7 linked regions of the Mus musculus genome follow. Each later gene encodes a partner of the first gene's protein in a complex. Links are inferred from orthologs where the notes say so. Each region holds a gene or a part of one and is shown in the gene's direction. Other genes may lie near its edges.

Region 1 (2,644 bases):
TGTTCTGTCTCTTCTCAAATGAAAAAAAAAAAATTTTTTTTTTCATTTAAAAGAAATGTAGGGCTGGAGAGATGGCTCAGTGGTTAAGGGCACTGACTGCTCTCCCAGAGGTCCTGAGTGCAATTCCCAGCAACCACATGGTGGCTCACAACCATCTGTCATGGGATCTGATGCCCTCTTCTGGTGTGTCTAAAGACAGCTACAGTATACTCATAAAATAACTAAATGTAAAAAAAGTTTTTTGGTTTTTTTTTTTTTCTTTAATAAAAAGAAATGTATAGAGAACTTTGTGAAACAACGCCACCAGCATTCTGGTGTGCCTGAGAAGGTAGAACGTTGTCTTCTTTCTGGGAAGTTTGTAGCAGGCTTTCTGGTAACCATGACTATAGAAGAGAACTGGACATATGGTGATGGTGGGATTGCTCTCTGAGACTCCTCATAGTACTCAGGTGAGTGCACTTTCAACTTTGCTCTATGATGGGGAAATAGAAGAGAGACACCCACTCACCTAGTTTCTTCTGGAATGCTTAGCTGTAGGAACCCTGGCTTCTTTACTTTGGTTGTCTGAACAATTCTCCTCCTCCTGGGGCCCCCTCAGGAACTCCCACCCAGCAGTCTAACAGGCCTGGAAGCCCAAAAATCTAGCCATACCCTCAGCATAGCTGTACGTAGTGGATGTGTAGTCATGGTTACCAGAAAGCCTGCCACAAACTGCCCAGGGAGAAGACAAATCTACCGCCTCAAACAGGAATGCTGGTGTTGTTCCACAAAGCCTAAGTTGGTCCTGGCTGCTATGCTTAGACTAATCCTATATGCTCCAAGCCTATGGTTTCCACCAAAACGCTGGATCTGTAACCATTTGTCTTAGAGGCATGGGTAGGGCCCAGGATCTGAAGTTTGGGTGCAGTAGGATTGTGAATTACAAGACATTTGTAGGAGTGCTTCTTAGTTTGCCAGCTAGGGCCTGGGGGCTAACTTAGCTAGGTGAGACTTAAAAAAGTCAGATGACCTGTCGTTATCCACAGCCACCCAGGGCCAGATCCTCCCTAGAAGGGTAATGTTTTATGCGGCAGGTGATGGGGTGCCTTCACTTCATGTAGTCTCATGAGGTAGGTGCTATTACCTTATAGTAGACAAACAGGTTCAGTGATGGGGTGTGGCTTGTTCTGCATCCCATATAAGGAGGCAAAGCTTGGGAAGCTGGATCTGGCCCTTCTTGGGATTAGGCTCTCTCTGAGGAGATTAAGGGTCACACTGTTTTGCTTCCACCCTTCTGACCCACCTGTTTCTTTTGGGGGTTTCCATGGGTTCGGGTTGCACTATTTGCCCCACATCTCCTTTAACATTCATCCTTGGTTAAAACCACCAAAGAATTGGCTAGGCAGGCTGGATGCTCCTTGGGGCAGCTGGCGTAAGCACTGCTAGAACTGTTGGCAATGGACCCTTCAAATAGTTAAGAGGTTGTCCTAGCACCTAGAGGAGGGGTTGTAGGAGAAACACTTCTTTAAGCCTAGAACACTCTGGCTCAGTGTCTGAAGTCAGCAAGTCCCAAGTACTCCTCACCGTGTTTTCCTATGTTCTCAGCTGGTTCATGGGACGGCGACCCGAGTACACAGACCCCAAGGTGGTGGCCCAGGGTGAAGGCCGGGAAGGTAAGACTGATGCTCCCAACCGTAACTTGAGGGTTGAGATGGGCCCCCAACTCCCCAGAAGCCCAGAAAAGAGATTGTAAAGGTGAGGGAGCTTCCAGACAACTGGGACCTAGTAATATACAAGACACCCACCACTTACACAAGGGCTTCAGCGGGTGGTTTACCATGTCTGCCCCGGTCAAATCCAGCTAATGCCCAGCTTCTGTCCCCAGTGACTCGTGTTCGCTCTCAGGGATTTGTTACCCTCCTCTTCAATGTGGTGACCAAGGACATGAAGAAGCTGGGCTATGATACTGGGCCTGTGGACACACAAGGAGTCCTGGGTCCTAGCCTGCCACAGGGCAACCCACAATAAAAATCAGCCCTTCTGTCCGCCACTGTGGACCAGATGCCCTACAGCCCACACACAGCCAAGGACATGCCAACCAGGCTGGGAAACAGGGGAGCTAAAGGTAGTTTTATATAATAAAGTGTCACATGTTTTTCAGAGGTTCTGGGGCCTTCATTTCTTGATTAGCACCTAACAGGAACAGGCCTGGGGCCCAACAGAATAGACCCAAGTAGGATGCTATGGTCAGTGGGGGCCTCTCCAGGATTGTCAGCAGCTTGCACAGAGCTGACACCCACCCCTTCACTGCCTCAGCACTCCTTTCTAAAACTTGTCTTCCTCAGCAGCAGGAAGTTAAAAGTCACTTGTTCCATGGCTGCCGCTATGACTGTTTACATTGTTAGCAGAATCTGTAACAAGTACTCCTTGGGGCACCTGCCTTCCACCCTCCATTCCTATTCCCCACACCCATCCTAATTCTCATGTGCTGGACCCTGAGGATGGGGCAAGAGCCATCCCAGGCAGGAGGCTGTACCACCAGCGTGGGTTTCTGGCAAGCTCCGCAGCCTAGCACCCTGGCATCTATGGGAAAGCAACTGGGCCTCTAGTTTTTTCCATGTTTGTTGGTAGTGGTGACACATAAACATGTAGTCACACTACACCA
Region 2 (3,500 bases), on another chromosome or scaffold:
GGCATTGGTATACTGGGTAGAGGACTTATCTAAGGGGAAGACAAATTCTCCCTCTCTCAGCATTTTTCAATTTCCTGTAACTTTTCATCTAGTGTTGAGGCCCAGTGTCATTTTCCCTGTCCATGTTAGTATATTAACTGGCATTTTCATTGTTCAGGTCTTGTTTAAACGGCTGTGCTGTTGCAGTTTCATGGGTGTAACTTCTATGTCGTGTACAAAAGACTCTATCTTTGCTCAGATGTCCTGGTCCTCTGGCTCCTAAAATATTTCTGCCCCCTTTTCTGCCATGTTATGCTAGCCTCGGGTGAAACCCTAGTATTGGGACACTTGTCTACCATGTATAGAACCTGCACAAAGTCACTTGCCAGCAGCACACACAAAAAAAGTAAAATGTAAATATATACAGTAAAAATTTATGGGTTTTAATTTATTTCTTTATATTTTTAAAATGTCTTACTACTTATTAATGGGTACTTTAAAATTAATACAGAATAAAATGATAAAGATGATAAAATTCAAATTATTGCCTTATTGATATAGCTTATTAAAATAAGCTAGATCAAAGTTATATTGGCTGCATGTTGGTCAAAGATTTTAAAAATATTAAACCATTTTTTGCGTTAAAACTTTATTCTTGTATTAGGATAAAAGAGTTATTATTTTTGTTGTTGCTGCTTCTTATTTGTTATTTCTTTCGTCTTGTAGGATTAACCATTGACGACTTGAACTTATCTGAAACCTTTTCTCATGAAAATAAAATAGAAGGAAGAAAACTAAATTTTATGAGCCTCAATAATATGAATGAAACACAATCAAAGGTAAATAAAACAGTAATGCTCTGACTTAAGAAGAAGGAAAAATGCTAGCAGTTGGGTATTTTTCTTCACTTAACCTCATTTAGCACATCTGCCCCCTTAGCTTATTAAATAATAATTTTTGCTTGTTTAAATAGTGTGGTGATCAGAAGATTGATTAATGAGACATTATTTACTTTGCATACAGATTAAGAGTTCAGCTAAAACAGAGCTGCTGCATAGGAGGCCATCATTCAGTGTTGTACAGTCAGATCAAAGTGAGGCAGAGGAGAACATGGCCACACGATCCTTATCGAGAATGCTGTCTGGAATCCATCAGAGTGTAGGCAGTGCAGGGGACCCTATTGTCTCCTTAACCAGATGCTCCTCATTTATGCAAGTGAAAGACAGCAGTGCAACTCCAGAAGCTATTACAATAAGGGAGATTTTTAAAGCACCATGCCTACGATCTTTGAGAAAGCTAGAATCGTTAGTCAGTACCTTCAGTAAGGACGGCAGTGAAGAACTAAGTGAATACTTATGCTCTCTCTCTGATGACCATATGAAGAGAGGGTCAGGAAACCATCGAGGTCTAGAGAAAACCAGGTTCCTACAGAAGAGCAGTTCATCTTTTCAAGTGTCACCAGCAGCTGCAGAATTAATGCAGAAACTATCACATAGGCAGAGCTCCGCAATATTTCCTCAACAGTCGTATGACCGTGATGTGGATAAAGTAACGTCAGAAGATAACCAGGTCTATTCTCAAATAGAGCATGCCGTTCTCAGTTTGAAAGACGATAAAGGACAAAGTGAATTACCCTCCCAAACTGAGATGCTGAGCAGTAAGACCCAAGTGAATCTTTCAGATCTTGTGCCCATTACTGCCCAGTCCAAACCGTCTCTGATACACCCCCTTGAAAAGCTCATAGGGCAGCCACAGCGCCAGCTAGCGTTCCTTAGGTCTCAGGTGAGCTTCCTTTCCAAATAGATTCATGCAATTCCTGGGCTACTACTATTACTATTACTATTAACCGGAGTTCTCTAAAAAATTCTGGAAAGATTTCTTTTTACTTACACATTAACACTCATGTATAACAAATCTATACTTTTAAAAAATCTAAAGTTGCAGTATATTTGCATTAAATTTGTTGACTCCCCTAATTAATACATTAAATGTTTCTTTAGAACGAAACCATAGTTCAGGACTTACCGATCCAAGAAGAGCAGAGTAGAAATGCAGAATTAGAACTTGACCATCAGAGAAGCCAGGCAGAACAGGTAGTGTAAAGATCGACCATTAAGACAACGATATAGTTGACGCTAAAGACAGAAAACCCCTGTATATCTCTGTGCCCTGCCATGGGGAATGTGGGTGAATGAGGTGGTAGAATCGTGGCCATCTCTGTTTTGCCCTCTGGACTTTATAACTGCTATGCTGCTCTAGCTTGTTTTCTGGTGGGCTAAACTTGAATCAGTAAAGCATTGTTTTAACTTGAAACCTGCTTATTACTGAGATATAACACATTTTTATTCTCTTTGTTCAGAATGAGTTTCTTTCAAGAGAATTGGCTGAAAAGGAAAAAGATTTAGAAAGAAGTAGGACAGTAATTGCTAAATTCCAGAGTAAACGTAAGTCACTCTTATGTCTTTCTTATCTGCTCCATTTTTTAAATCTTTAATTGCCTTTATAATATATAGCTCAGTCTATGTTACTTAGCTTTGTAGTTTACATTGCTATGTTTATTGTTATAGAATATTTCCAGTTTTTATGAAAATATGTGTCACATATTTTATGCTCAAGTGAAGGTAAACTTATAAACATTTAAAGATTTTTAATAGGTCAAAGCTATGCTATATCTATCTGTATTTACATATATATTAATTTTCATTTATATATTTGCATATGTATATTACTAAAACAGGTGTGGTGTTTAATTCAGCATTTATGTTGAATTTATAGTTGAATTTTTTATTTCCTTGTTTGTTTTTCATTTTTTTTCCATTTGAAATCTGTCATGAAACAAGAAGTAATATGTTGTAGAAAAGACCTATTCATTTAACGTGAAAAAATTATAATTACAGTAAAAGAATTAGTCGAAGAAAATAAGCAACTTGAAGAAGGTATGAAAGAAATTTTGCAAGCTATTAAGGACATGCCGAAGGATTCTGATGTGAAAGGAGGTGAAACATCTTTAATCATCCCGAGTCTTGAAAGACTGGTTAACGTAAGTTATGTTTTCACGTTAATGTCTGCATTCAGCCAACTCATCTCCTGTATTGGTTTCATTTTGATGCTGTGATAAAATACTCAGTTAAAAAGCAACATAAGAAAAAGGACAAATTATATTCCAGGCATAGCCTGTTGTGGCAGGCAAATGCAGACAGCTGGTGCCAGCTACAGCTGCTCAGCACTGCGTCCACAGGCTGGCCGACTGATGCTCTACGTGATAGATGAGTGAGGACGTGGACATGGAAGGAGTCAAAGTTATTTGCTCAGCTAATAAGCTGGCTCATGAGTGCTGATCATTTTCTAATCTATAAATATTTACTAAATGCTATTTATTTTAATGAAGTAATTACTGTGTAATAAATACACTAAACTTAAATTTTATAAATATTACTTCATAAGAAATATAAATAGCATATTAGACATTGCAGTGAGCATGGAAAGATGATTAGTTATTTAAAGGCATATTTTTCTTGACT
Region 3 (4,294 bases), on another chromosome or scaffold:
GCTGAGTTTTATTTGTGGCTTACTAAAGAAAAGTGTGTAAGAGCACGGCTATAGATAAAGCCCAGTGGGGAGTGTTTGCTTAGCAGCCCCAAGCTTTGGGTTAGACCCCAGAGGGCAGGAGACCCAGCTGCATATTCTAAGGTTCCTGCAGGTTACTGACTTAGTCTGTGTCCACTTTTGGTACCTATGCTGTTGTGGCATCCTGACATGAAACAGCATCATTTTCTTAACCAACCAGGTGATATTAAGGCTATAGATTATATCATCTCTGTTGACAATGGGTAAACTTTTCACTGTAGCATGAGAACTATATGTGTATACAATATCAAAATGTTTAGGCAGAGTGATTTAAGACCCATAATTTACAAAAACAAGCAACTGGTCCACCCTCCTTTCCTCTGAGACTCAGAGCAGGGGTGTGTATGAAGGTAGTTCAGATGGGGTGCAGGGACCAGGGCTTTCTCCATCACCTCACCTTGCCGTGGTCCTTTAGTGGGAACTTAGAATTCCATTTAAGACCTGCCAGAACATTGTGACACCCACTTGAAACCCCTGTACTGGACGGGAAGCAGAGGCAGGAGAATTTGAGGCCTGCCTAGCCTACATAGGAGACCTGTCTAGCCAAACTAAACCAGACCTGAATAAGGCAGTGGAAGGCACAAGCAGAAGTGAAGGAGGAAGGAGAGCAGAGGTGGAGGTGGGGAGTGATGGAGGGAGGCTTCTACTTAAATTATTCTCCCGGAGTGAGGACCTGCTTTGAGAAGCAACAATTACTGCCTTTATCCACACTCCTACTAGGTAGGGAAATAGCACTTTCATTACAGGTTACTTACTCTCTCCCGTTATTTGTTGACTGACTGCCATACTCTAAGGGCTGACAGCTGGAGTCTTTTCAGAAATCTTACTCTTTCACCCCCTGCCTGCAACAACACGCTCTTGCTTCAAATTGCGGCCAGGGTTCGTTCATAGCGCAAGCTTGTTGGAAACATTTCTCAATTTCCAACTGGCCAGACGCTGTCTCCTTTCAACACCCTTGCACTCTTTGGGTCGCAGGAGAATCTCATTATAGCACCGCTGTTTTCCCTTGTACTCCTAGAAAGGACATTCTATCTTCAACGGTTTTGGTGTTTACATAGGCTCCAGGTAAGCCTTTTGCACGACAGTGGCATGGGGTGTTTTTAAAAAAAACACATGCAGTAGAAAAGAGAATGGTGGGCGCAGGGCCGATCCTCCAACTACTCGGCCACACCGGGCCACTAACGACCTACGCCATGACGCCGGGGATGGAGAGAGTTCAGCTGGAGAAGTGTTCTGGTCTCTCTGCCGTCGTTTAAAACCCCATCCTCCCCCTAGACCACTGTAGGTGGTTGACGGCTGGCGCTGTTCTGTGCATGGGCGCGGCCGGTGGGGTAACCATAGAGTAGCACCGGCAGGCAGAGCGGCCAGAAGACCGGGCGGCTCGGTGCCGCGCTTCCGGCAGCGCCGCATTGCTCCGGGCGCTGCAGTGTACGCAGTTTCCATGGGGACTGAACATGGCGCCGCGAGGTGAGACTCTGGAGGTGTGTGTCTCTGCCCCTTATCCCACGGGTACCTGCCAGCCCCCTCCACCTCTCTGTCTCCAGAGCTCGACCTAATCCTCCATTTCTAAAAGTCGGGGTCTTACTCTTCACTTGTCTAAATCGGGCTTGGGTTGTTCTGATCACCCCGAGTGCCTGCATGGGTACTCGAATACCGTACTCTTAAAAATCCCCGGCTGGCCCTATTCTGGGATGGCTCAGTTATGAATCCTCCCGCCTTGGACAGAATTAGTTTCTGTGCCTCAATTTCCCCCTCAGAAGTGACAGGGTTGAATATTTGAGGTGCCTCTCAGCTGTGATTATAGCTGAATTGTCAGAGAAGTAGATGTCAAAGTGATTCCTGAGAAAGGAGATTGAAGGCAGTTCCTGCCACACCAACACTCACGTCATTAGCAATCAGAAGTTTCTCCCTCATTCACAATAATCTTGTGATTTCTCCGGATTACAAAGAACCTTCACACAGAACAGAGTAGAGCTCTAGCTGCCCTGCCCATTCTTTGTTTTGCTTTCTTTCAGATAAAAGATTGTCCTCAACCCCCCTGGAAGTCCTGTTCTTTCTGAATGGGTGGTACTATGCTACCTATTTCCTGCTGGAGCTCCTTATTTTCCTGTACAAAGGTAAGCCTGGGCCTATCTGCCTCTGCCCCAGCAACCCTTTTCCACTTTAGCATACTCCAAGAACCTTCTATCTTCTGGTCCTAGCGGCATCTCCATTGCAAGGCAGAAGTCTCTCCAACTAATGGCTTTAGAATGATCAAATAGGATGTCTTTCAGCAAGACTTGAGTTTGAGAAATGTGGGTTTCTCCATCCCAACTCTTTCCCCATCTCTCTTTACTAAAATATTCAGATCTGTGTACCATTATAATTCAGTCATTTGGCAGAGTCAGGACTTGGAAACTTAAAGCCTGTAGCTGTAACAATCTATACCTTGCTGATTTGTGAGATGTTAAGACTGGTTGGTATCCTTGTCCCGGGTTTGTGGCCGTCCATCCTTGTGGGGCCGTGGGGCTGACCGTTAGCTAGGTGGTGTGTGCATACTCTGGCTTTCCCTCCTGTAGGGCTCCTGTTGCCGTACCCAACAGCCAACTTAGTCCTGGATGTGGTGATGCTGCTGCTCTATCTTGGCATTGAAGTCATACGATTGTTTTTCGGTGAGTGTTGTTCAGAAAATATTTCCATTGCTTATGAGACATGCTGGAGCCTGTAACTTGATTAACAAGACAAAGAACCTAGGCTCACTATCAGAGTGGATCTGGTAATGTATATACCATTGCTTCTTCCCTGAGGCTTCAAGCTGCCGCTTCATATTCTAGGTCAAGGTTTACCTGTGTGTTTGTGAGTGAGGCTAGAAGCGGGCAGTAGCACTGATCTTAGACCAGTCCTCCCAGCTGCCTGAGTGCCACAAGAGTGCCTGCGTCTTCTCCTTGCTCTGAGAGAGGAAAGCAGTACATTCCTAAAGAGCTCAAGATCCCCTCCGCTTCTCTAAACAAGGATTTCTCTAGAAGTTCCTAGACACCAGAGAACAGAGCAAAACTGCTGATTACTTAGAATATATCATCCTAGTGCGAAAATACAAACCTAAGGGAGAGAATGGTAAGGGATACTAACAGTCAATTCACAAAAGTCATTATAGAGGACCAAAAACCTTGCTAAGGTGAGCATGGTGGCACATGCCTTTAATCCCAGTACCCTCTGGCAGAGACAAGGGGATGGCTATGCATTCAATTAGACATAATGAATTCCAGTGCAGACAGGGATGCGTAGTTAAATAGATCTTAAATAGATCCTAGCTAAAAAAATAAAACAAAACACCAAAACAATAACAACACTTGCCAATGTGCTCAAACCTAGTAAAGAAAAGCAAGAAAAATAAGGTAAAAAAATTTTTTTTTATATATTGGCATTAGTCAGAAAGATTTATACAGTACAGTATCCATATTTGGCTTGTGATATACATATTTTTTAATTAAAAGTCATTATTTTATGCCGATGGATATTTTGCCTGTATGTATGCCTGTATACTACATGTATGTCTGGTGCCCACAGAGGTCAGAAGAAGGTCTTAGGCTAGAGATGGCTCAGAGGTCTAAAAGGACTTTTAAACCTCCTGCTTTTGCAAGAGGACCCCAGTTTAGTTCCGAGCATCCACATCAGGTAACTCACAACTGCCTGAAACTCCAGCTTCGGGGATCCAATGTTGTCTTCTGGCCTTTGTAGGCACACACAAACACCCAAGTGAGAATTAAAAGTTAAAAAGAAGAAGAAAAGGGCATCAGATCTTCTGGAACTACAGTTACAGACTGTTAAGCTGCCATGTGGGTGAACCTGGGCCCTCAGGAAGGTCAGCAAGTGCTCTTAACCACCCATGATCCATCTCTGTAGCCCTAAAGAACAGATATTTTGTTTTTGTTTTTTTGTTTTTTCGAGACAGGGTTTCTCTGTGTTGCCCTGGCTGTCCTGGAACTCACTCTGTACACCAGGATGGCCTCGAACTCAGAAATCCGCCTGCCTCTGCCTCCCAAGTGCTGGGATTAAAGACGTGTGACACCACGCCCGTCTAAGAACAGATATTTTTAATGCACTTAAATTATTGTACATATTAATTGAAGTTTTAATGTATATACACATTTGCATACACACATGCATATTATAGCTATACATATTTTACATATACACATATAAATTACTATGTGTATACACATGGATATATGTATAC
Region 4 (3,500 bases), on another chromosome or scaffold:
TTCAGACACACCAGAAGAGGGCATTGGATCCCATTACAGGGGATTGTGAGCCACCATGTGGTTGCTGGGAATTGAACTCAGGACCTCTGGAAGAGCTCTTAACTGCTGAGCCATCTCTCCAGCCCTGAGAATATACAATTTAATATTGCTTGTTTTCCACTTTTAAAGACTCAATGTGTAAATACACAATTCTTTGTGCTATGTATATTTCCGTGATTGACAGTATCTAGGTGAGACGTTGTCTCAGTCAAGAGAATGCTTGCAGCATAAGCATAAAGACATGAGTTCAGATCCCAAGCACCCATGAGAAAAGCTAGGCATGCTTTCACAAGTTTGGAATTCTGGTGCTTGGAAGTTGGGGTCAGGACAGATGGATCCCAGAGGTCCCTCGCCAGCCAGGGTAGCCAACTGATGAGAACCAAGTTTAGGAAGAGAGGCTGTCTCAAAAGATAAGGCTGAGGACAATAGTGGAAGACACTCAACATGTCAACATGTATCCATACATACTACACACACACACACACACACACACATACTCACACACACGCCCCACAAACTTTGCTACATAAGAGTTTCAGACTTGCCTTTTAGTGTGCTCGCACCTCAGTTTCCTGGATGCATGTCCCTGGAAGTGAAATTGTTTTCTCCCATTTGACATGCTGACTCCAAATGCACTTGAGAGGTGTGATATCCCTTAATGCCGTCACCAGTGTCCCTGTCACCTGGTATACTTTCTATTCTCCTGACTTCTCATAAGGCTGGGTTTATTATGCCTCCTTTACCTGCCTGTGATTTGCATGCCTTCTGAAGATACCTGGGACCTGAACTTGCACATGAAATGTGCTCCAGGTACCCAGGACCTCTCTGTTCTCAGGAGATCTTCCCCCTTCTTCCTTCCCACCCTGCCCCCCCATTCATTTCTGCCCCTCCCTCTTCCTTTTTCCCTCTAGTGAGAAACTTTTAGTTTTAAAACATAGAATATGCTCCTGTTTGTTGTCTGGTACTTTCTGTCTCCTGTTTCATACAGATAACTACTTCACCATCTCCTACAATCTTCCTAGCTATCTGTTTCCCATTTCCTTTTCAATCCAGTTGCAGTTGTTCCTTGTTTGTAGTATAGGAAAGATATGCTTTGCTGACCCGTGTGATTCCTAGTTCAGGAGAACTCCATACATCAGTAGGAATGTAGTTTAATGCCCCACTGTGCTGTCGATTTCCATGAAGACTCTCTCTGCAACTGCTATTGGTCCCTTTCTGGGCATCTCTTTGGGGCATGGTGTACCCATACATATGTGAGAAAAGTAACAAACTAAGGCATTTATCTAGCACTTTGCTTAACAACAGATACTTTCCAGTTGAAAATAATTATAAATTTTGATGGAGAAGCTGTAATTGTCCAAAACTGAAACCATTCATAACATGTTCAGGGCAAATACAAGTGTGATTGCCCTTTGAGGCAGGAGCCTTGCCACATTGGGTACATGGAACTAGCAGGGTACCTCCCACTTAGTATCTATTCAAAATGCTGAGTCAAAAATATTTCAAGCTAGAGATACAGCTCAGTAGTAGAGCCCTTGCCTAGATTTAGCCAAGACATTAGCTTCAGTCCTCAGCCATATACAATCAATCAATCAATCCATACATACATAAATAAATGTATGTCCCAAACCTCCCCCACAAGTTTCTCTCAAGATTTGTTTCTGCACACAAATATTGGACTAACCCTCATAGTTTTAGGCAATGGAGAAATTTACCGAGTATGAAACCAGGAAGGTAGACCACACCAGGTAAAAATGAGTCAGCAGTCCATACCCAGCACCAACTCCAGACTGCCAGGCTGACACAGGTGTGGCTTGTCTGTTGTGCCCCCCTCAAAACCTCCCCAGTCAGGAATGAGGAAAAGGCTCCTTGTAGACGAGCAGGGGACCTTCACATCTATTTAACCCAGTACCTTAGTTAGGATTTCATTGCTGTGAAGGGACACCATGAGCAAGGCAATAAAGAAAAAATATTTAAGTGGGGCTGGCTTACAGTTTCAGAGGTTCAGTCCATTACCATCATGAAGGGAAACATGGCATCATGCAGGCAGGCATGGTGCTTGAGGAGCAGCGAGTTCTACATCTTGATCAACAGGCAGTAGAAAGAAACTGTGTGTGACACTGGGCACAACTTGAGCATATATGAGGCTTGGAAGCCATCCTCCACAGTGACACACTTTCTCCAATAAGGCCACACCTCCTAATAGTGCCACTCCCTATGGGTCAAGCATTCATACATGGGAGTCTATGGGGGCCATACCTATTGAAACCATCACAATTACTGAGATGGTTGTAAAGGGCATTTCCGTACTACAGACATCTACAGAATGCACTGTGGATATACTCTTGTTATTGGGATGAACTAATGGCTTGTCAACAAAATCATAAGGAAACAACCTGAAGTCATCAACCCAAGTTCAGGAAGTGGCTTAAGGGACTCAGTAACAAAGACATAATAAAACTATTCAAATGAGTCCCCAGGCCCTTTGGAGTAGAATTTACTCCACCTTGGCAACCCACAGGGACAATTATCCAGAGTGGCCCTATTACTAAGTGGTCCACAGCTCTTCCCCATGTATACTCACAGGCTAGTTTCTTAACTGTCTGTGTTAATGTCTCTTCAGGGTTGATGATAGCGTGAGGCTCACAGCTTAATACAAGCAATGGTTTTAGACAAGACCCTGGCACAGGGCAAGCCCAGCACTATATCTGCTGCATGGTCACCATCTTACGTCATTCCAAGAAATAACCACGATCTGCAAATTCATTTAAAGGGAAAAAGTTGACCCGAAACTAGATGAGGATGCATATGAAGCCGAGATTCAAGCTGAGATCCATGAACTGCTGGAGGAACACATGGAGGAATATGCAACAAAGATGGAAGAGTACAGAACATCTCATCAGCAATGGAAAGCCTGGAGGAAAGCCCAGGTTTGCAAAGCATCACTCAGCATCACTGCAGTGGGGCTGCCTAGGGAGGGCCTTGGAAGGCAAACCCCTGAGGCAGGAGGAGGGACGCTAGACCAACAGGCCACACCTAGGGCTCCCTCCGACTCTTTTGTTAGGGAGGCCCAAAAGGGATTGATTGGGTAATATCTTTTTTCCAAAAAGCCACTCAGACACCATATTGATAGCACTGTGTATAATCAGTAATGTACATGTCGAATGTGTATTTGCCATGCATGGAGGGTGTTGATGCCCCTACTGAATGCTCTTCAGATGTTGCCTCATTTCAGAAGCTGTGTGTGTGTGTGTGTGTGTGTGTGTGTGTGTGTGTGTGTGTGGTGTCTGTTTGTCTCCACTTTGGGGGAGAACCAAAGCACAGGGAAATGATGTTAGAGACGGGCTGAGGGGGGGGGGGTGTCCAGTTCTCTCTGTTCTCAGTGCCATGCTGCTGAAAGCCAGTCCCGGAGACTTGAAACCAGGTCACCTTCTACCCAACAGAGGGCCAAAAAGAAGAAA
Region 5 (4,012 bases), about 7.6 Mb from region 1:
CTACCCCCCGTTCATTTAGAAGACCTCCAGTCTGTCTTTCATGACCTTTAACTGGCTTAGGAAAGGGAACCCCATGTATTACTTTAGGGAGACAGAATCATTTCTTCTTCTTCTTCTTCTTCTTCTTCTTCTTCTTCCTCCTCCTCCTCCTCCTCCTCCTCCTCCACCTCCTTCCTCTCTCTCTCTGCCAATTCCTTGAAACAAAAATTTAAGAAGTATCTATTTTCAAAGCTTCCCTTTGATATTATTCTAGTATTATCTTTTAATTTAAAAAAATTATAGCACGCATTACCTCGCTGGGTTTTGTTCTTGTTTTGGCTGTTATCAATCTCCCCACCTAGAATATAACCTGGAGGGACTTTATCGAGGTACTCTCAGATTTGGGGCACAGTGCCTGGCATCTGGGAGACATCAAATATTTGTTGAATAGATGAAATCCCTCTGGTCCTGAGCCTTGTCTTTTGGGCTGGTTTAGAGGCACAAAGAAAAAGGAATGGAGGGACCAGAGAGTGCAAGTGGGATGGGAGGTCCATTGACATGGGACTTGATTGTGAACTGGAAAGTGCTGAGAACTTTCCGATTCTCCGATCTGCAGGGATTTCATCCGAAGCCCCAAATCGGTCACATCACCCTAAGAAGAGGTTCTTGGTCTGTAACTGAGCAATGTCCGGGGCCTAACAACTCAGAGCAAGAGTGAAATCGGTGGTGGGTCAGCGTCCCAGCCTAGGCTAAGCGCAAGCAGTTCCAGTCCCCCGCTCCATTCTTCACCCTTTCAGATCCCCTCGGTTCCCGAGGCAGTCACCTCACCCACATCCAATTTTAACCATCCCAAGGCTGCTCATTTCTGCACTCGGCAAATCTCTCATGACACGGAGACAAGTTATTTAGGAAGAAATTAGAGTCATTCTTCGGCAAAGTTTTGCTCTAGGGCGGAAGGGGGAGTCCTCTGACAACCAGGGGCTAGGGGACTTAGCCTGACCCTGGGACAAGCTCGGTGCATCAGCCTCTCCTCGTTCGTCCCCTCGACTCCTAGCGCCCAAGGCAGTGAGTGGGAAGCACAGGAGAAGGGAGGATTTGGTGGTTCTGGCTGCATCCTCTTGGGTCCATCAACGGCTCACGTACCGCGCCTATAGACGTTGGTAGAGGGAGCAGCACTATCGCGAGACTTCCGAAAGCAGCAGCGTGGCGCTTGCGGACGCAGTTACCATGGCAGCCGGGCGGCGCCCGAGCGCGCGGGAAGGACACTTAAGTAGAGAGGTCTGGCCTGCTTGCTCAGGGAGACTTGATGAGTGACCCACCCCAGACTTCCAACCTCAAAACCCACGGCCTCCACTCGAGGCCCCCGAGGCCATGGGTCGGATCTCCGGGCTCGTGCCCTCTCGGTTCCTGACGCTCTTGGCTCATCTGGTGGTTGTCATCACGTTGTTCTGGTCCCGGGTAAGACGCGGACAGGGCGCGCGTGCGCGTGCCCTCCTGGCCCTCCCATTCTCATCTTGGAGTGGACCCAGCTCAGCTCAGTCCACTCACACAGGGTCCGTTCGTTGCTCCGTTCCCCGGCCCCTTCCCAACTTGTCCCCGCAGCCCCATTCCTCTTTTGACATTTCTTTCTTTCTGCCCGGCTCGCCAGGAAAGCAACATCCAGGCTTGCCTGCCTCTCAAATTCACCCCGGAGGAATACGAAAAGCAGGACAACCAGTGAGCTCTTGGGGCGGGGTGAGAGTGCAGGGGTCTTCAACAGAATCCAGAAACCTTGGTCCAAGCCCTTTTCTCTCTGCAGGCTGGTAGCCGCGCTCTGTCTCACCCTGGGCCTCTTTGCAGTGGAGCTGGCTGGCTTCCTCTCAGGAGTCTCCATGTTCAATAGCACCCAGAGCCTCCTCTGTATCCTTTTTATTTGGCCATCGTCCTCAGGTGACTCATCCCAGTTACCACTCTTTCCACCTCTGTAGGCCTTTGGGGCACAAGTGTCTGCTCTACATGGTAAACCGAATCTCTCTCTAGGTGAGAGGTTTTAGACACTGTTGGGGAATTAATAGACTTCAAACATTCGTTAAATCCGGATGTGAGCCAGGTTCTGGCGATCCCTGGATGGGAGTAAAATCATTTTATCCCGTTTGAAGAGGTGGCAGACAAACATCTGTAAATCAGTGTGATTAAACAGTATGCTTGTAGGTGTGTGTAAAATACAAAGCACTATGGGAACTCAGAAGGGACCAAGAAAATAGAGCCCAGGTGTGGTTCTGCAAGCCTTTAATCCTAGTGCACGGGAGGCAGGGGCAGGTGAATTTTTTGGGTTTTTTTAAATCTTATTTTACTTATATATTTAGGTTATCTAAGACAGGGTTTCTCTATGTAGACCTAGGCTGTCCTGGAACTCAGTAGACCAGGCTGGCCTCGAACTCCGAAATCCACCTGCCTCTGCCTCCCAAGTGCTGGATTAAAGGCATGCACCACCACTGCCTGGCTTGTTTTGTTTTGTTTGTTTGTTTGTGTTTTTAAAAAGGTAGCTCTTTACTCTTGAATTGTGGACAAGGAAGACCAGGGCACTGGAGAAATCCCCAGTGTATCAGATCTGTAGGTATTCTTGTGTGGCCTAGGGCATATATGACATTAACCTTCCCAGAAGTGTACAGAGTGTACAGGGAGAGGTCCTATCAAAGCAAACTCAGCTCTGGTCTCTTACACATAACTGTCCATAAATTCAGAAGGCATTGGCTGCCAACTCTGGCGCTTGTCTTAAGGGAAGGGTACAAGCTGAACCCAAGTCCAGGTACCAACGGGGCCCATCACGAACCGATTACTTTCCTTGACCCCCTCTGTATTGTTAAGCCATTGCAGCCCACTGTAGCGCGTCTGTGGCCCTGTCTTTCTTCGTATTCGAGCGATGGGAATGTACCACGTACTGGTACATTTTTACCTTCTGCAGGTGCCCTAGCACCCAATATTTTGGAATGGGGGGGGGTGGTGGAAAATCGATCCCAAATCTGAAGGTTTCCCCCACCTAGACCTTTCCTGCACATGTGAAATTGGTAGAGTTTTGAAGAGTCATACCCACCCTAACCCACCCGCATATAAGGTTTGGAGGTTCAAGTGTTTGGGTTGGAAGGGGCTCTAACTCCCCCCCCTCCCCCGCGGCCCCGTACTTTTCACAGCGCCTTCCCAGCTGTCACTGAAACTGCATTATTCATCGCTGTCTTTGGGCTGAAAAAGAAACCCTTCTGATCACAATCCGGGTGTAGGGACCAAGGCTGGAAAAGTGATGAAGCTTCCTCCCACTGCTGCAAGAAAAAGGCAGAGGCTTCAGTTTTCTCTCGCCCAAGTCCCTTGCTCCTCCCAACTGCGGCTAAGCAGAGGATGGCAGTGTTGGAATAAGATCTCTCAAATCTTGGATTATAATTTTATTAGAGTTTTGTAATAAAATTTATTTTATAACAAGAGCAAGGCGTATACTATTTTTCAGAAGACCATTGGATGGGCCAAGAGGCTGGTATAAATAAAGGCTTTTATCTTGTGGTTAGGGCTAGAAGTAATGCTTCTATTTGGGTTTTTACGCTAGAAGCTAGGCGGAAGTGAGTGGGCGGGGATATGCAAATAACTATCTCACATAGCGCTTCTAATTTGCCGCGTGTGAGGGGAGCATTCTGGGATGGTTTTGTTTCTCCCTTTTTGTGCCGAATGGAGAATAAAATACTTCAAACGACTTGCAAATAGATATTATTCTTGCGTTGCAAGAACTGTAAGTCACTGGGCTCGTGCTAAAGTGACGTATTCTCACCCTTCCTTTAATAGGAAATGTCTCTACTTATTTAGCAATGGGCTCCCTCTGCCTTTTATCGTCAGGAGGTTAATCCTTACCTGTTCCTCCTTTCGGAGGGCAGTAGAAAATGATGATTGGAGCTTGCATGATCTGCTGATTAGCATTTCCATGCAATCAGGACCTGACAACATCCTGGTTGCTCCTATCTGATTCCCTGGCGATCACACTTTTCCAATGTGCTGATTGGTAGACCTTTAC
Region 6 (4,080 bases), on another chromosome or scaffold:
TGAGCCCCTGACCCACCCCTGAAAACTTCCACTGGGGGGCGGGGATGTGAGGCAATTGTAAAATATACAAATCAAAAAGGTTTCTTTTTTTTCTTTTCATCATAATGAACCGCTTTGGAAGTGGAAAGCTGCAGAGTTTTCCATCCTCTCCTGTGATTTCTGTTAAACCTGAGAAAAACAGGGCAGTTGCATAGGCAGATAAAAGCAAGCTGTATTTACAACAGGCCTTCGGGCTGCCTTACCTAAAGTATGTATTACAGAAAGCATCCCTTCAACCTTTTATTACTGTGCTGTTAGGTGTATGTGACAATTCCCAACAATCACACTATGTGGCAGTTCTCCAGTCGGGGGTTTATTGGGATGGGAAATAGAGTTATCCTCTGGGAGAGGGAGGAGAACCAGGGACAGGGGAGAAAGGGAGAATGAGGCTTTTATTAGGCATTGTTGCGCTAACAGTCTGCAAGGCTGTGCACTTTAATAGGCAATATTCATGTATATCCAAATTTGGTTCTCAAACCAAGTGAGATGAGGTGTATATGTAGGGTGCTTTATGCACAATACAGAGAAAGTATGAAATCAAGATTCAGTAGGCAAGGTTTCTCCTAGACTTTTGTCATAAAGGTATTATATATAAAATCAATGAGGGTTTCTGTTTGTATTGCTTTGCTAAAACTCAAACTCAGGACTTGAAACAATCCCTACCCTTAGTGTTTTTTAAATAATGTAAAAACAAAGCCGGGCATGGTGGTGCACGCCTTTAATCCCAGCACTGTAGAGGCAGAGGCAGGCGGGATTTCTGAGTTCGTGGCTAGCCTGGCCTACAAAGTGAGTTCCAGGACAGCCAGGACTATACAGAGAAACCCTGTCTCGAAAATCAGAACAAAACAAACAAAAAAAGTAAAAACATAGGGCACCTCCTTTGTTGTCAAAATTAATCCCCTGGGTAAACTGTCATGTAGGTGTGATTGCCACTTTCATGAAACACTTTTAAGTGCTAAAACCATATATTTTCCATTGCTGTAGTAGTATTTCCTGACACGGTAAATTGACTGCGTCCCAGAGTTTTAAATACATTTTAAATAACCGCCCCTAATTTATTTAGCATATGTCTGATCCATTGTTTCCCGCGTGCGTGGTAACCTAGCAACCAGGCGTCGCAAGGTTGAGTTTTTTTTTTTTTTTTTTTTTTTTTTTCTGAACCCTGTTGTCCAATCAGCTCAGCGGACTCACCGAGGAGGCTGCTGGGGAGCTGGAGACTGCGGACCCAGGATATGGGTACCATGGTGACGCGTACAAGGCCTGTGGCGGCCATGGCGGTCAGATCTCGTTCTTCATCCCGGACTGGCACCGCCTACCTTCTCTTAGTTCTCTGCGAAGTCTCATGGGCACAAATCTTCTCCTTCCCTTTCCGGCGGCCTGAGACCTGCGACTTCAACCAGTACTTTGACATCTCGGCGCTCTCCTGTGCCCCCTGTGGCGCCAACCAGCGGCGGGATGCACTAGGTGAGGCGGTTTGGGGGTGGATGGACTCTGACCAAAATAAAGCACTCCTGACAGCCAGCACTCCAGACATTTTATTTGGAGAATGTTTCAGAAAATGCACAGCTATCAAACCTAAGAAAGGGTTTCCTGGGAGGATACGGCTGACACAATGAGATCAGTCACCCAGGCGCCACCACCCTACCCTCCTCCAGGAACTCATTCCCCGGAGTCAGTCTCTGGCAGGGAATCCTTAGGATGGCACCTGAAAGCCGCCTAAGAAAAGTAGAATAGAAATAGAAAAGAAATAACCTGAGGCGTCTAGTGAGGTACCCTGACAGGAAAGCAAGGGAAGAAATGTGAATTAGTAAACTCTTGTGACCATTAATTCTACTTCCAAATTCAAGATATTTAAAGCTGTTTGCAACTGTGACTATAATCAGATTTTGTAAGCAAAGGAAACTGAAACCGAGATGTTGTGACATCTGTGTGACATATACTGGAAACTAAGAGAACTCTTGTCTCTTCCTCACTTTCTTTTTTGTTTTTTGTTTTGTTTTGTTTTTCGACACAGGGTTTCTCTGTGTAGCCCTGGCTGTCCTGGAACTCTCACTTTGTAGGCCAGGCTGGCCTCGAACTCAGAAATCCGCCTGCCTCTGCCTCCTGAGTGCTGGGATTAAAGGCGTGGGCCAGGACACCTGGCTTCCCTCACTTTCTACCTCTGCATTCCCAGCGCGTGGCTTTGCATCTGTGGTTACATATTCCCTTAGGACCTGTCCCTTTTATTGTTGATGACTTCTGTTTGCTCACATTGTCCTTTTAGACTTAATTGCATCGATTGGTCTAGTTCTCCCTTAACTACTCAGAATGAGTCTTTTCCTATTTACTGAAGTCTAAAATGCTGTGAATCTCAGACTGGTTAACTCTCCTGCTTTAGGCCTGGTAGAGTCTCACTTAAGGCAGTGCGGATCACTGTGTCAGAAGATGGAGTGTGAAGAGCAAACGTGTTCTGCATTGTATTGCTTTCATGACAATGAATGAAGACGTGTGTGTTGTACATAGACTCCTACAGGTGCTGGCTCTACTTAGTCCTTAGAGAATTCTTTCTTTAACTAGCTGAGTCTACTTGTAATTACAAACAACATTTATTTTCTTTCTAGAGAAAGAGTATTTGAATGAAAGCAATTTTCCAATAAGATATTGACAAAATTAAAACTCACTAAACACACATACATATGGTTTAGTGATGCAGAAATGTAATTCCTAGAGCAAGTAAGTAGTTTTCATAGTTCAATAATAATTGCAGTTTAAAAAGTAGCAACATGATGCCAGACATATTTCTAAACTTTGACCCTATTAGGTAGGTCCTGTTTTTTTCTCCATTTTACTAAACAAGAAGCCGAAGTATAGAATTCATTAACCCACTCAGTGTTTGCATGTATACGCACAGACCCATAGACACATATACATGCACAGACAGACAGACAGAGAGACAGACAGACAAAGACACCTGTTGTCTCTCATATAATGCCCAGTCTGGCCTCGCACTGTCTGTGAGCAGGGATACCCTTGAAGTACTGCCTGAACTTCCTGCCTCTTCCTCCTAAATACTGAGGTTACAGGTATACACCACCACTCCAAGCTTCAAAATCCTAAGAACTGTTAAGTTTGTGTCTTGGAGTTTTGTTTGCTAAGGACAATATCAGCTTTGTTTTTTTTTTTTTCTTTTTCTTTTCAGGAACTTCCTGTGTATGTCTACCAGGATATCATATGATCTCTAATAATGGAGGACCTTCTATTATTTGTAAAAAGTGTCCAGAAAACATGGTATGAATAATTTATTTTAAAATAACTTTTGAGAAAAAGTCATAAATGTCTATCTCTCAGACTTCAGTATAATTTCCCATTTGTTCACATACTTTAAACTTTTTTTGTTTTGGGTTTTTTGTTGTTGTTTTTTTGTTTTGCTTTTTTTGTTTTGTTTTTTTTTTTGTTTTTTTGTTTTTTTGTTTTTTTTTGGTTTTTTGAGACAGGGTTTCTCTGTGTAGCCTTGGCTGTACTGGAACTCACTCTGTAGACCAGGCTGGCCTAGAACTCAGAAATCCGCCTGCCTCTGCCTCCCAAGTGCTGGGATTAAAGGCGTGCGCCACCACGCCCCGCTACTTTAAACTTATTAAGGTAATTTTATTAGTATACATTTTGAGAGATCAGTAAAGCAAAGAAGAAAACTTTGGGGAAAAAAGACAAATTCATTTTGTTCTGAAAGTGGTTGAGTCAGATATCCCAAGTACAAAGCTGTGAAAAAAAATCTTTCTGTTTGCCTCACAGAATAACTAGGGTATAAAGAGAAGCTGAGTATTCCCTATGTAGAGCCATTCGGGGTAAAATGTCTTTGCTGTAGATGGCATTCGCTGTCTTAGATGTACTGTGCTGATCGTCTTAAATGATGCTTGATCCTCCTAATGCTACATGAGGTTCAGCAATCCTCATGCTACATTAGGTACAGCAAGTCGATGCATTGCCGGTTGCATCAATAGAAATGGAATCATTCGAAGTTTGCTTAGTTTCCTCATTACATAATGGTTCAGGGAAATTCGACTA
Region 7 (3,500 bases), on another chromosome or scaffold:
TGTTGACCACACAGACCAGGGTGGTCTCAAACTCATGATGATTAGGGATCCTGTTCATTTAACAAGCCTCGAGAAATCCTGGGAGAGGCAAATGTACAAGAAAACATTTTAAAATTAAATGTGTGTGCATGTGTGTTTGTGTAGACTAGAGGGTGACTGTTTTAGAGGCTCTTTCTTCTGTGTAAGTCCTAGGGATCAAACTGAAGTGAGGCCTGCCGTCTAGACAGCCCGGAAAGACTGTTTTCTTCTAGGGGTTTTATTGCTATTAACAGTGGTTTCCAAAGGTGTGATGTCACATACTCTATACATTCCTGCTGATTTCCAATGCTTTGTCTACAGACAAGCCTGCACTGTCTTTTGCTAATCCAGAAGTGCCTGATGAAAACAATTTTGACAGACTGATGCAGACATCAGGTGGCTTTACACTGAGTGCCGAATCCGCTGTTCCTTCCACAGCCGCATCAGATGGCCCACAGCCCACTAAATACGAGGTGAGCCAACAACCCGATGGCAGCTGTTCATACATCCTGAAATACTCTATCCTTAGAAGCGAATTTCAGTATCAACATATAAAGGCAAACTGCCTGCCCTTGGGACATCCACGAGAGCACGGAGAGTGGATGCTACTCTCTGTCAAAGATCATGAGAATGCAGGCGAGCGCTCAGATTCTGCACTCAGGATGTGAAGTCACTTCTGTACTGAATTTTGTCTCTGTGGAATTTTCTGTTCTTTTGAACCCTAGTGCATGTGTGTAGCGGACTGACTGCAGCCGCCTCTGGCACAGGGACTGGGCTCTCTGGACGCCAGGTACTCATCTCGGTCATATTTAGTTTTACAGACATTAGGAACCTACAGGCTATTTTATATCCTTTCGTTAGCAAGCCCGTAAAGAATGACTCGTTAATGTTGAATGTGGTCAGCTTTAGAAGCTGGGCTTGCTGGCGCCCACCGGTCATCTCAGCCTTGGGAGCTGGAGAGGTGGGAGCTCACACATAAAGTAGCGTGACCTCCATGAGACCCTGCCTCAGAACAGAGCAGACGGACGTCGGGATAACTGAGTGCTTAAGCCCTTAGCCACAGGCACCAAGACAGGAGTTCAAATCTCCACTGTCCATGTAAATGCTGATGGGGTTGTGCTGGCCTGCCTGTCATTTCAGCATTGAAGGGTGGACATGGGATTCTCAGGAGCAGGCTAGCTACAGACTCGCTTCACCTGCAAGCTCAGGGCTTGATTGAGAGACCCTGTTTCACTGAATATGGTGGGTGAGAGATTGAAGATGATGTCTGACATCAACCTCAAGCCCGCGTTTGCACATGCATCCATGTGTCTGTGCAATCACACACAGGTGTGTCCGTGTGCCTAGACAGGTACATCACACACACACACACACACACACACGCACACACACACAGAATAGAGAAAGAACACCTTTTCAGCAGCGTCCTCTGATGAGGAAAGCACCGTGCGCACTAGTCGTCAGAGTTGGACGTCACAAAGGAGCCTCAGGAAAATGCAGAGGCCCCTGGTGGAGCTCATGCTTGGTGTGCCCCAGGGTGTGGCTGGCATCAGTCCCACCGGCTCACTGGGCCCAGAGGATCCACATTGCACATGGCCAGGAAGAGCTCGGCCCTGCTCATCCTGGTTTGTAAGTTCATCTACAAGCTGTGGAGAGAACTGTGGTGCTGGGGGTCACAGTTAGAAACATCATCCTAGGACACTTTTTTTCTGTGACAGACTCTGTGTCTTCCCGTGTCAATATGAAGATTGGTTGCTGCTCCTGGAGCATTCGCTGCCTGCCAGGCATCATGTCAGGCTTTCCAGCATTCCTGCCTACTGCCTGGGCAGGACGCCCTGCTGCAAGAGCAGTCCGTGCTCTTAACTATCAAAACACCTGCCCCTCCTGTGCCACCATCCTGTCTTTGCAGACATAAGCTTCCAGCTTCTGTTGTTGTGAATAGAGAGACCTTGTCTCAAAAACTAAGATGAAGACAACTAGATGACCTCTGACCTCTGTGGGCCCTTCCCCATTCACAAACACATACAATCTTATAAGATTTTAATGAGTATCACAACTACCATGAAAATGAACAGTGATTTGTTCATGTCTGTGCTCAGCCATCTGATTCCTGTCCACAGACACACACACACACACGTGTACACACACATTCTTCTGAGCCTCTATTAATTTATCTGAGATAGGATCTCACTGTGTAACCCTTTTTCACCTAGAACTAACTCCCTGTGTGGACCTAGCTGACCTCATCTGCCTGCCTCTGCCTCCCAAGTAGAGGACACAGTTAAACCTGGGTAAAGGCTTGAACCACCACACCTATCCCAAGCAACTTTAATCCCAGTATTGGGAGGTTGAGGCAAGAGGACCACTTAAGCCCTGGAGGAGTTCAAGACTAGCTTGGGCAACAAATTAAGTCATCTCAATAAATACATAAATTTTAAGGGGCTAGAGCAGTGGTTCTCAACCTTTCGAATGCTGTGATCCTCTAATATAGTTAGTTCCTCATGTTGTTGTGACCCTTAGCCATAAAATTATTTTCGTTGCTACATCATAACTGTCATTTTGCTACTGTTATGAATTGTAAAGCGAATATCATATATTCAGGACGGTCTTAGATGAGCCCTGTGAAAGATTGAGAACTACTTACTGGCTTAAGCCTCTTGCAGACGCTCACTGAGAGTCTCTCTGCATCTCAGTTCTGCTAGACTCAGAGAAACTCTGCTTTTATTGCTTACTCTTGGCAGGGAGGGGCCTAGTGAAGCTAGCCAGCTTCAGGGACTTCCTGAGGCTCTTGTGAGTTGTTTACCTTCCTGCTTAAGGATTGTTCCTTCAGGGTGGAATGTTTTAGTCTTGGAGGAAACTGTTATGTAACAGTTTTGGCTGTGTAGACCTGGCTAGCCCAGGACTATATAGATAAGGCTGACCTCAAACTCACAGAGGTCCATCTGCCTCTGCCTCCTGAGTGCTGGGATTAAAGGTGTATAATACACAAAATTTATTTTAAAAAGGTGTGTGTGGATGTGATTGACAGCCGAGAATGAGCGCTTGCATGCACTCTTGCACGTGCGCGCACACACACACACAAACACACACTCGTGCTCATCACTGTATTCCCAAACCCTCTGTGTCAGTAGGAACTATGTTCAGCACTGAGTCCCCAAACCCACAACTATATATGAGCCCTGCATGGCAGGGACTGTACCCAGTACTGTGTCTCCAAACCCATAGCTATATATGGGCACTGTGTGGCAGGGACTGTGCTTAGTACTGTGTCCCCAATTCCCCCGCTCTGTGAGCATTGCCATGTGTCTCGCCCATGCTGAAGGAGCACCTTATCTAACCTGTGGGTGCTTTGTTTGCAGTATGGAGCCCCTCTGCAGACTGCAGGAGCATCTTCAGGGTCATTTCTGAAACTGCCCTCGCCTCTCACGTCATCTCTGTGTGCAGATCAGAACCCCGCAGGTAAGAGGGAGCTGCTGCTCTTC

What was found.
Region 2: B9d1 (region 1) and Cep290 share a complex: the UniProt entries of both Homo sapiens proteins name them as parts of the tectonic-like complex. The link is inferred for Mus musculus from reciprocal best matches to the Homo sapiens genes B9D1 and CEP290.
Region 3: B9d1 (region 1) and Tmem216 share a complex: the UniProt entries of both Homo sapiens proteins name them as parts of the tectonic-like complex. The link is inferred for Mus musculus from reciprocal best matches to the Homo sapiens genes B9D1 and TMEM216.
Region 4: B9d1 (region 1) and Cc2d2a share a complex: the UniProt entries of both Homo sapiens proteins name them as parts of the tectonic-like complex. The link is inferred for Mus musculus from reciprocal best matches to the Homo sapiens genes B9D1 and CC2D2A.
Region 5: B9d1 (region 1) and Tmem107 share a complex: the UniProt entries of both Homo sapiens proteins name them as parts of the tectonic-like complex. The link is inferred for Mus musculus from reciprocal best matches to the Homo sapiens genes B9D1 and TMEM107.
Region 6: B9d1 (region 1) and Tmem67 share a complex: the UniProt entries of both Homo sapiens proteins name them as parts of the tectonic-like complex. The link is inferred for Mus musculus from reciprocal best matches to the Homo sapiens genes B9D1 and TMEM67.
Region 7: B9d1 (region 1) and Tctn1 share a complex: the UniProt entries of both Homo sapiens proteins name them as parts of the tectonic-like complex. The link is inferred for Mus musculus from reciprocal best matches to the Homo sapiens genes B9D1 and TCTN1.

What each region holds. Positions count from the first base shown.
Region 1 is NC_000077.6:61,510,788-61,513,431, forward strand, and holds the end of B9d1 (B9 domain-containing protein 1 isoform 1 precursor), read left to right. Parts: intron 1-1,584; coding exon 1,585-1,652; intron 1,653-1,864; coding exon 1,865-2,007; 3' UTR 2,008-2,144; downstream 2,145-2,644. UniProt on the Homo sapiens protein: Component of the tectonic-like complex, a complex localized at the transition zone of primary cilia and acting as a barrier that prevents diffusion of transmembrane proteins between the cilia and plasma membranes.
Region 2 is NC_000076.6:100,511,582-100,515,081, forward strand, and holds part of Cep290 (centrosomal protein of 290 kDa), read left to right. Parts: intron 1-705; coding exon 706-818; intron 819-1,002; coding exon of another isoform or gene 1,003-1,761; intron 1,762-1,979; coding exon of another isoform or gene 1,980-2,072; intron 2,073-2,338; coding exon 2,339-2,423; intron 2,424-2,876; coding exon 2,877-3,019; intron 3,020-3,500. UniProt on the Homo sapiens protein: Involved in early and late steps in cilia formation. Its association with CCP110 is required for inhibition of primary cilia formation by CCP110.
Region 3 is NC_000085.6:10,552,964-10,557,257, reverse strand, and holds the start of Tmem216 (transmembrane protein 216), read left to right. Parts: upstream 1-1,494; 5' UTR 1,495-1,532; coding exon 1,533-1,545; exon of another isoform or gene 1,546-1,559; intron 1,560-2,093; coding exon 2,094-2,195; intron 2,196-2,636; coding exon 2,637-2,729; intron 2,730-4,294. UniProt on the Homo sapiens protein: Part of the tectonic-like complex which is required for tissue-specific ciliogenesis and may regulate ciliary membrane composition.
Region 4 is NC_000071.6:43,700,379-43,703,878, forward strand, and holds part of Cc2d2a (coiled-coil and C2 domain-containing protein 2A), read left to right. Parts: intron 1-2,812; coding exon 2,813-2,969; intron 2,970-3,482; coding exon 3,483-3,500. UniProt on the Homo sapiens protein: Component of the tectonic-like complex, a complex localized at the transition zone of primary cilia and acting as a barrier that prevents diffusion of transmembrane proteins between the cilia and plasma membranes.
Region 5 is NC_000077.6:69,069,597-69,073,608, forward strand, and holds Tmem107 (transmembrane protein 107), read left to right. Parts: upstream 1-1,212; 5' UTR 1,213-1,350; coding exon 1,351-1,437; intron 1,438-1,627; coding exon 1,628-1,695; intron 1,696-1,777; coding exon 1,778-1,878; intron 1,879-2,826; coding exon 2,827-2,923; coding exon of another isoform or gene 2,924-3,002; exon of another isoform or gene 3,003-3,149; coding exon 3,150-3,219; 3' UTR 3,220-3,697; downstream 3,698-4,012. UniProt on the Homo sapiens protein: Plays a role in cilia formation and embryonic patterning. Requires for normal Sonic hedgehog (Shh) signaling in the neural tube and acts in combination with GLI2 and GLI3 to pattern ventral and intermediate neuronal cell types.
Region 6 is NC_000070.6:12,085,138-12,089,217, reverse strand, and holds the start of Tmem67 (meckelin precursor), read left to right. Parts: upstream 1-1,280; coding exon 1,281-1,503; intron 1,504-3,217; coding exon 3,218-3,306; intron 3,307-4,080. UniProt on the Homo sapiens protein: Required for ciliary structure and function. Part of the tectonic-like complex which is required for tissue-specific ciliogenesis and may regulate ciliary membrane composition.
Region 7 is NC_000071.6:122,254,461-122,257,960, reverse strand, and holds part of Tctn1 (tectonic-1 precursor), read left to right. Parts: intron 1-339; coding exon 340-491; intron 492-3,377; coding exon 3,378-3,477; intron 3,478-3,500. UniProt on the Homo sapiens protein: Component of the tectonic-like complex, a complex localized at the transition zone of primary cilia and acting as a barrier that prevents diffusion of transmembrane proteins between the cilia and plasma membranes.